2 linked regions of the Daphnia pulex genome follow. The protein of the gene in region 2 purifies or fractionates together with the protein of the main gene of each other region. This does not show direct contact. Links are inferred from orthologs where the notes say so. Each region holds a gene or a part of one and is shown on either strand. Other genes may lie near its edges. The genes, in order: gamma-tubulin complex component 3-like and gamma-tubulin complex component 2-like.

The links.
Region 1: the proteins of gamma-tubulin complex component 2-like (region 2) and gamma-tubulin complex component 3-like fractionate together in Drosophila melanogaster (co-fractionation; 3 studies listed by BioGRID). This does not show direct contact. The link is inferred for Daphnia pulex from reciprocal best matches to the Drosophila melanogaster genes Grip84 and Grip91.

The regions. Positions count from the first base shown.
Region 1 is NC_060018.1:810,996-815,541, reverse strand, and holds the start of gamma-tubulin complex component 3-like, read right to left. Parts: upstream 3,050-4,546; 5' UTR 2,971-3,049; coding exon 2,895-2,970; intron 2,792-2,894; coding exon 2,418-2,791; intron 2,357-2,417; coding exon 2,254-2,356; intron 2,186-2,253; coding exon 2,067-2,185; intron 2,005-2,066; coding exon 1,848-2,004; intron 1,778-1,847; coding exon 1,217-1,777; intron 1,156-1,216; coding exon 981-1,155; intron 918-980; coding exon 577-917; intron 518-576; coding exon 297-517; intron 240-296; coding exon 135-239; intron 67-134; coding exon 1-66. Other genes in the region: motile sperm domain-containing protein 1-like, read left to right, coding at 3,214-3,343, 3,429-3,779, 3,843-4,007, 4,072-4,103; tectonin beta-propeller repeat-containing protein-like, read right to left, coding at 4,296-4,343, 4,430-4,546.
Region 2 is NC_060019.1:11,566,110-11,570,640, forward strand, and holds the start of gamma-tubulin complex component 2-like, read right to left. Parts: upstream 2,866-4,531; 5' UTR 2,720-2,865; coding exon 2,667-2,719; intron 2,582-2,666; coding exon 2,420-2,581; intron 2,350-2,419; coding exon 2,210-2,349; intron 2,148-2,209; coding exon 1,767-2,147; intron 1,683-1,766; coding exon 1,460-1,682; intron 1,398-1,459; coding exon 976-1,397; intron 916-975; coding exon 765-915; intron 641-764; coding exon 378-640; intron 310-377; coding exon 135-309; intron 74-134; coding exon 1-73.

The sequences.
Region 1 (4,546 bases), on a different chromosome or scaffold from region 2:
GCTGATGGCACACAATTTGGCTTTAATGCTCGGCAGGAAAGACTCAATGGTCGATTTGGATTTCCCCTGTAGGCAAAAGACATTCAACAGTTGAACTAGAACCCCAAATCTGCAACCTGTTGATTTTGGTTTACCTGTCGTTTTTCAACTTCGAGTATGGCGGCTGAGAAAAGTCGCTCTTGAATTTGGCTGAATTGCAACATGGCTTCATGGATGCCCCTCAAATGATCCCGTATATCCTGGAACATAATGAATTATAGATTCATTGGAATCCAATAAAATCTAACTATTTCTACCTTTGATTCTTCGTCGAGGAGCGCACGGCTGGTCACCGTCTGCAAAAAGTGTTCGTGGGCCGTCAAGAGTTGATCCATGGTTTTTGAATTGCGTAAGGCGACGCTGAGCTGCTCCCAGGCGCAAGCCACCACCTCGAACGACAGGTAATGCGACATTTCCTGGGCGAAATGAATCATTTCGGAGAGCAGCAACTGGGCTTGATGCAAGACTCCTTGAACCTCTGCAATCACACTTTTTAGTCGTTAAACTTCTTTTTATAAATCAAATCAGAATTCCAACCTAATAAGCCCCTCAGCTGCCGTCCTTCCGTTAGCTGTTGATGGCGCAATTTGGACATGATCCATTCCATGCGCTTCGAACGCCAAAGGGCGTAAAAGAGAGTCTCGTAACGAGTTTTTACTTCAGGTGTGAGAATAGTTCCTAGCGGTCCGTCTACTTTGTAGTCGAGACTAAAGACATCCCATCCGCTGTCACCTTGCGACGGTTCGCTGATGCGCACATCAAGTCGTTTCAAAACATCCGCATCGTCGTACTGGCTGTTGGTGCAGCGAATGCACTTGTCGAGAATGGACGCCAACAAACGGCTCATTCGTGTGTTGGCAGGCTTGTCCAGCTCGGGCCTTTAAAAAATAATAATTCCATGATTAGTGTTTTGACAAAAAGTAAATAAAATTGGAGTTTACTCGACAAGTTTCATCAGATGATTGACAAAATCTCCCTGGCCAAGTAACAGATACTGACGAAGGGCGCACAAGTGGAGTTTGATGTGATAGCGGTCCAGCAAGACTTGCAGCAAGTACTGAGATGCAGTACTGTAAGCTTCTTCTATGGACTCCCAATCCAAGGAAAGCAACGATTCTAAATGAAAGGAAATATTTCAATGAAAATGAAGTAGATGTCTCAGGAAATCATTTCATACCGCTACGTTCTTCAGCTGTACGACGAATCTGGTTCAATCCCGGTATGGGGCTTTTATCCAGGCAAATCTCGCGCAGGAAGCAAATACTTTTTCCGGTGGTGGCCACTTGATGGCCTTGCTCTTGAGTGAAGAAATTAGGCACCATGATTGATCGTTCATAATACTTGTCATTCCATAAACTGCCGGGATCGACAGCCAGGTTCACGCCGATGAAGAATTCGCCATAAGGATCGCGGAGTTCGCCCTCGAACGTCCAAAGCATCAACATCTCGTATAACGGACGACACACTTGGACGAGAATTTTCAACACGACAGTTTTCAAGGTGGCGTTGCCTTGTAAAACGAAAGAGTGAATAACTGAAGCCAAAGCTCCGCCTCGTTGACCATGGCACGCTTCCACCAAAGCGGCCAAAAGTTTCATCCTGGCTTTAGGTTCTTTCGTCCATACTAGCAGCCTCTGGAATGTTAAGCCTTGCGTCTCGACTCCAACGCTATCACCTGTTCTAGCAGTGTGTACTTCCATCTGCGATTGAAGAACTGCTAGCAGTCTGTAGTACTCACCTGAAACAATACGTCAACACAAATGTTTTTGTAATAGTTTAATAAAGGGCTCCATTCAAGATTTACTGACTCAATTCTTCTTGTAAAGCGGCGGCGAAAGCCCTCGCGGCTAACCCACATGTGGATTCCGTTTTTGGGGATTCACAATACTTTTGAACTTTGTAGAATAGCCAGCCCAACTCCACCAAACTGAGTACCATCTGCTTCAGAGCTTTTGGTAATTTTACCTTAATAGGAAATGGGAAAAATTAAAAATAAATGTGTAGAACAGCTGTTTGTATATAGTTACAGTTGATTTAAGGTGAAGATTTTCATGGGTTGCATCCCACTGGAACACTTGTCCTTGTATTCCCTGGAAGGCATACAGGATTTCTCTAAGTAACACTTGGTTGGAGACATCTGAATGACCTGTAAAATGAACAAAAGTGAGATTGCTAATTTCTGAACTATGTGTGTTATAAGCTAAGAGTATGTACCATAAAGTGTTGTTTGTGGTGCACTTTTCTTGCTTGATGAAAGAGAAATTAGAGGAGAATAAGGAATTTCTGTATTCTTAGGTGTCTTGACCATTGTTGTGGTCTAAAAACAAAGAAAATTTTGATTAAATGTGCAAGATCTCTTTCTTTAAACTCAGTCCTACATCAGTAGTAAATGATGCCAATGATGGTAGTGTGAAAGAATGACGAACTACAGGTTCATTAGCTGCTGAAGGAGGATTCAGAGCCAAGTAGTACATCAATTCCAAAACAGCTTTTCTGTTTTTAAGGATGGACTGAAGAAGATGTAAACAATTAATATTTAAATAAAATTTATGTTGATGGTTGTCACTTACACTAGCAGTTAGCCGGGCATAAAGTTCATCAAACTTCCTAGCATCTTGATAGCGTTCCTTAGTACCCAGAAGTTTCTTGATACTTTGGACAATGGAAAACTCTGTTTCATGGGTTTGGGATGATAAATGTTGGGACGACAGCAACTGAAGCGCGAGTTTGTATTTTGTTTCATATTCTTTACCTACGAGTAACCCAGAAAAAAAGTACTGTCAGAACTGAACACACAACAAAATCAAGCTATTTTGATAATAGCTAGCATTAAATAAAAACTGCTCTTTGAATACTAGTTTCTGAAGACTTTCCACTGCTCAAAGATCTGCAGAGTTTCTCGACGAGAGCTGGAATTGTATTTTCATCCATAATTGAATTTTGTCAAACAAACTGTTGACCTGTTGTCGTATTTTTTTTATAAACAAAATTCAAAAAAGAGTCTACTGCTTTCTTGGACTCCGTTGGTGGTTTTTAAACTCATCGTTAGATGGCGTGTTCTTTGTTTATGAATCGTCCAACAAGGACAAAAAAGAGAGTATTTCTCGAGAGACTGCGTAACAAAAATAAAGATTTGAGATCATATTTAGTGGGTCATTTGTACATAAAGTGAGAATGACGGAGGTGAAACGGTTACCAGTGTTTGTTTTCCCAAGTTCGCTCAATTTCTTCGCTGATGAGTCGTCTTCACATAAACAAATGGTCACTGTTTACAACCCATATGATTTTGTTGTAAACTTCAAAGGTGCGTTGTTAACTGATACCACTTTTAGTATTAGTCCTTGAAAATTGCACTGATAACCTAACCTTTTTTCGCATGCTTTTGATAGTACTGTGTAATGCTCCACACAAGTACCAGATTGGCGATCCTGAGGGTTCTATAAAACCTCACTGTTGTATGGATATAGTAATACGACACATTTCTATTTTGCCAACTTGCTACCATGTTACGGACAAGTTCAGGATTCAAATGAATGAACACAACAGCAGACAGTTGTTAGGGAAGAAAGATATCCCAGTTATTTTATTACCAGGAAAATCGACAGGAATCTCAGACTCAACTGCTACTAGTCTGGATAACTTCAGACAGTTCTCCACAGATGTACCGTCAGCCTCTTCTAGTGACTCAAGCTCCTCAACTATGCAAATTCAAGCTTCCTCAAATAGCCTTGGAAAATTAGGTTGTTGGAGATTTATTGAATTGTTGTTTTCCAAATGATTTTACTAAGCACATAATTTTCTAGGTTATCAAAATGCTGGACCAAATTATATTGCCATTGTGGTGGCAGTTGTTTGTATTATAGCTCTAATGTTGCCTTCAAATGAAGCTGAAGGTGGCTCGTCATCCTCTGTTTGGTCAATGTTTCACTTGTCTTCACAACAGAAACTGGTATTTGCCTATTCTCTTGGTAAGTGTATTGGAAATTTCAGAAATTGAGTCAGTAATTAATTTTGAATTTTTAATGTATTAAGGTCTGGTTACAATGGTCATATTTCGGGTGTAAGCCTTCTTCCTGTGAGAAGTTCGAAGTACGCAATGAATGCGCACCTTTCTGTTCGCCAACTTTGAGAGATATGAACGTCAATGAGATTCCTTGAAGTCGGCTTAAAGTAACCATTCAGATAATTTATGAAGTAAATTTTAAAATTGGCTGGTCTCTTTTGAAAATTTAAATGAAAATTAAAACTAGCGAAAATTAATATGGAATGTCGTGCCCCCGATTGCAGACAAAACTCCAACCACCCTGTAAAATTGAAGAAAAATTATAATGCAACATTTTTGTGAAATGGCTGTATATGTGTTGTTGTAATTATGGTTAACAAGACTTACCCCAATGACAAACTCCCAACCAGTGCCTCCAGGACAGGACGCTGTAATTCCTCTTCGGATACAAATTGAACCCCTCTCTTTCACTTTAGGTTCGTTGTTCTTCAAATCCAGCACAGC
Region 2 (4,531 bases):
AGCAAATGCGTTGTTGTACCACTGGCTAGTCGGAAACGAATAATTGCGAACAATTTTGTGCGAAATCCAAACTCTAAAAATGTCATTAAATCAGTAGTTTCAACAAAATTAATTGCGCTGAAGGAAATCCTTACCGGCCCAAGAGATTTTCAACATATTTGGTCAAGAAAAGATGTCGGAAAATCATCTGGTAGCACGCCATAACTTTAGTCGTAAACACAAGTGAAACAGGCCATCGAACACGGTACATGAAAGAGAAAGCTTCCAATCCCGTCAACCGTACATGGTCGATTGAGTGGTTCCCATCCCCTAAATATTTTTAAAAAATGTATCTATTTTATTGAAATGTGGGAAGGTATCGAACTAGGATTATATACCGCGATTGTCGCGTTCTCCGTGAGTTTCGATCGAAAGAATCTTAACCATCTGAGTAGTTAGATCATAGGAAAGTAATTCAAGTCCCAGATCATCTTTGAAGGGATCAGCGTTGGCGGTCGAAGTGCGAAGTGCCAATTCAAGCAAAGATTCTAATCGGCTGGGCATTACATCATCAACGTTTTTCACCAATTCCGCTCCGCATAGCGAGAGGAAATGCAAGATAAAATCTCCCGCATTCAGGAAAAAGTAATGCTTCACGGACCTGCAAGACATAGTAACCATTAAGGCATTAAATGCATATTCTAATGCGTAAAAAACTAAAACAGTCAAGAGTAATCGGCTAAAATTGTCACATGCAATTCATTATGAGGTTAAACTGATATTACTTGAGCCGACCTAAAAGGTCGTAATCTTGCATGAGGACGTGCAACAACGTCTCAGACGCATAACTGTAAGCCTTTTCAATGGCTTCTTTGTAGCCTGATCCGTCAAGTGTATACACTAAGTCATCAATCCTTGGTGGTTTCACCTTCATTCCTATCAAAATTAAGGCATAAAGATGATTTGATATTGAATAAATTTAAGATTAGGACACACCACATTGCTTGATCACATTAAGGTATTTTCCGGTACGAAGAATCTGGTCAGTAAGTGGGAGAAGGAATGAGGGTACTCGATCACGTCGTAGAGTGTAACGCTTCTCCCAGTAGTCGTCACTGTAAGCCGTTGGGGAGAGCTTGTCCATGGATACTACTTGATGATCTTCAACCATGAACTCCAAATATGGATCTTCTACTGAACCTTGATAAATCCACTTTTGCAAAATCTCCCAATATGGCTGGGCTGCAGAACGGGTAAGTGAGAGCAAAAGTTTCTGTTGCTTCTCATTTCCCATCGCTTCCATGGTCTGTTGGTGAAGAACGGATAATACTTGGCCGCCTTGAGCTTTAGCTCTCATTAATGACAGCGTGACATGATGCAGTTGATGCAATATCGTGACATTGGGCTGAAGAAGATACCTTAAAAGATATAAAAAAAAGATTGATTTAAAGATACCTTAGATATAAAACCTTTAGATTACCAAGCTTTCTGCAAACTCAATTCGTTCTTAAGCAATAAACTTTCCAATTGACAGACAAAGATTCGATATTCATGAACCAAGTTGCCAATAGCCGCTGCCAAGGCGTCATTTACCATTCCGAAATCGAATCCAGAACGACTCTCGTAGAAGCGCTCAATTATAGAATAGGAAGCTAAAATTGGGAAGAATCTTCGAATCATTTCTTTTAGTGAATCGTCGACACCTGTAAAAAAAAAAAATACAAAATACAAAATTTATTTTTATTCTGACAATTTTCAATAAATAATTATTGAATAAAAATAATTACTATCATCAATTTCGAATTTTCTTTCGTCGGCGTTGGCAGTTAAGGGTAGTGCACGTATGTAATCGCCATCAAACCCACTGAGAACATAAAGGAGCTCTTCTAAAAGTATTCTTTCTTGATCTCCTACAGGCACATTTCCAAGAGGAGCAACTTGAAGTAGATGAGAATCTGATAGCCCAGCAACAGGAAAGTCCCAAGAAAGAAAGGGTCTAGTGTGAAACCACTTTGGATTCTTTTGTATAATTTCACTAGATGTGACCCTCTTCTCTGTTAGTTCAGTAACTTTATGACCTAATGAACCCTCACTTGCAGTCTGTAACCTGCTCTTCAATTCCTTCAATTTTACACCTCCAACCACAATTGGAGTGGATGTTGATGGGCCTAGAAAAAAACTTCTACTGTAATTAAATTCATGAACAAACATATAGAAAAAATTTAAATACCAGATCCTTGATTGCTATCTGTGCTAGTGCAATAGGTTTTGACAGATTCTCTTGGCAAACCAGCCCTGACTGAGCGGGTCATTGTCTTAGACTCTTTCATCTTTGAAAGTATCAGGACAAAAGAATCCAATTCAGCGTAACTTGAAGTTTCAATATTAATATGACCATTAGCAGGATTGTAAACTTTGTGAAAAATGGTGTAAATCCTACTTTTTGTCCCGTAGTTCTTCATACTTGTTCACTATCTCAGATGGATTTGAGCTCAAAGCTGCTAAAGTTTGCACAGTCTCTCTAGCATTTGTTATTTGGACCTGTGATGGAGAAGTCACCAAGTTTTTCACAAATTTTTCAGGTGCAACCAAGTCAGTGAGCCTGTAGGAAGGACGAATTAAGTATTCCAGTGTAAGATCGGGCAACGGCCAATCCTAGATTATGTATTTCAAAGTAGTTAACTTACCCTAGCGAATCAATCAATTCGCTAACAGCGTGATGAATTTTGAATTCACTCATGACAACAAGAACAAGTAGTAATCTTCAACGTTACAATTTTGTTTCCTCGTCAAGTCGTCAGTCACAACATGTCAAGTCAAACCTATTCCTGTTGTGCTGTTGACATTTCATGAACTAACATTTGGCGGTAATGTCAAATTCAAAAGAAAGCAGACACCTGGCGGATGAAACTGATACAATTATCGCTGCGTTAGCAAGGCCGGCAAGGCGTTAGAAGGGCTATTATTTTATTACTTATTAAAATTAGTGATTTTTTATGAAAAAAAAATATAAAATGTTAATTCTTTGTTAAACATCAACATTTTAGGTAATTCCTGCTTCCTAAGTCATTAGTCTATTTTATTTTAATAAAAAGAGTGCGCTTATAGGTCTAATATTAATTCCTTTATTTAAAACCCTGTAGGCCTGTATAATTCAAGTAACAAAAAATATGTAAGAAATAAATTGCGCGGCTTTTATGTAAATGGCATAAATGATGCACTATACACTATTATAGTGTGCATACAATACTTCCCCACATTACAATAATGTAGAGCGATGAACGGAATAAGAGAGGTAAAATGGTATTTGCCTTCAAAACGAAAACGACAATGTAAAGAAAAGTGACAAATGGTTTATTCTTTGACACACTATAGAGACTAGACTCCTCTTGAAATTTATGTGAAAGCATAACATTGGACCAATAGGCTGAAGAGGCACTTTCTACAATGGGGACGGGGCCAATAGCGTCAGGTGTATTATCCCCTATAGAAGAAAAGTCATCAATTTTATCTTTCACCAGCGCATATATACGTTAGTCTTCTGTCATACTCTCTAACCTCAGTTTTGGTTCACTTGTAGCCTATTATTTAGTTGGGGTGGACGAGAAATGCATTTGTATGGTATTACCGTCTTCTATTAGTAGCTAGGGCTGCTAGTACTTTAATTGTTCTTATTCTTATTTCCGAATGGAATTACGTTATTATTTTCGGTTTATTATAGCCTATTACATAAAGAATTCCCCGACCTCTAACTTTTAACGTATATGATGTCTAATAAACTTGGCTTGTAAACATTAGACTAATTATAGGCTATAATTACTAGTTAGGAGCATAATATTATTGACAAAAAATAATAAAATTGGCTAAAAAATATATAAAATAAAAAAGAAATAAAAGAGAAGGAATAAAAAAACAAAAAATTAAAAAGTAAAAACAGCGAATAGTCATTACTCATAGCTCACCAGCAGGGGGGTTTCGATACGTTTGTTCCGAGAAAAAAGGTTGAAACGAATCGTCGCATTTTGCTCGAGTCTCCCTTCCTCGCCATTCCTTATCCATTTCCGTATCCATTTCATTCTTGCTTGCAGCAGGTATATACTGAAAATTTCTAATTTATTTAAAGCAAATTCGAGTTTCTTGTTGAATTTATCAGTCCTGGTCAATTGATGAGAAGCATAAGTCTATATAGGCCTACAGTATTAAAGAGTGGCTCGTCCATACGTTGCATGTTTTTTGTAGGCCGGTGCTATGTTTTCACAAAGATTGGTGAATAGGGAAATAGAACGAGTTCTACAGTCTGTGAAAAATGAATGTAATCGTAATATCTTATCAGGGCATCAAAGATAAGAAAGTAGTTATTGCAAGGATTTAGCGCTATAAGAATCTTGGAAAAGATTAGGCCATTGTTTTGATTCCAGATTTCTTGCTTCGGCATATCACGAACCAACAGCAGCCCGTGGATTTGGAATCGAGGCGGCACGCTTTAAAACGTTCCGAAAGACAGCAGCGAGTGCTGCAACGGTTTCTCTGTGCCCCGATGTCAGGCTTATAC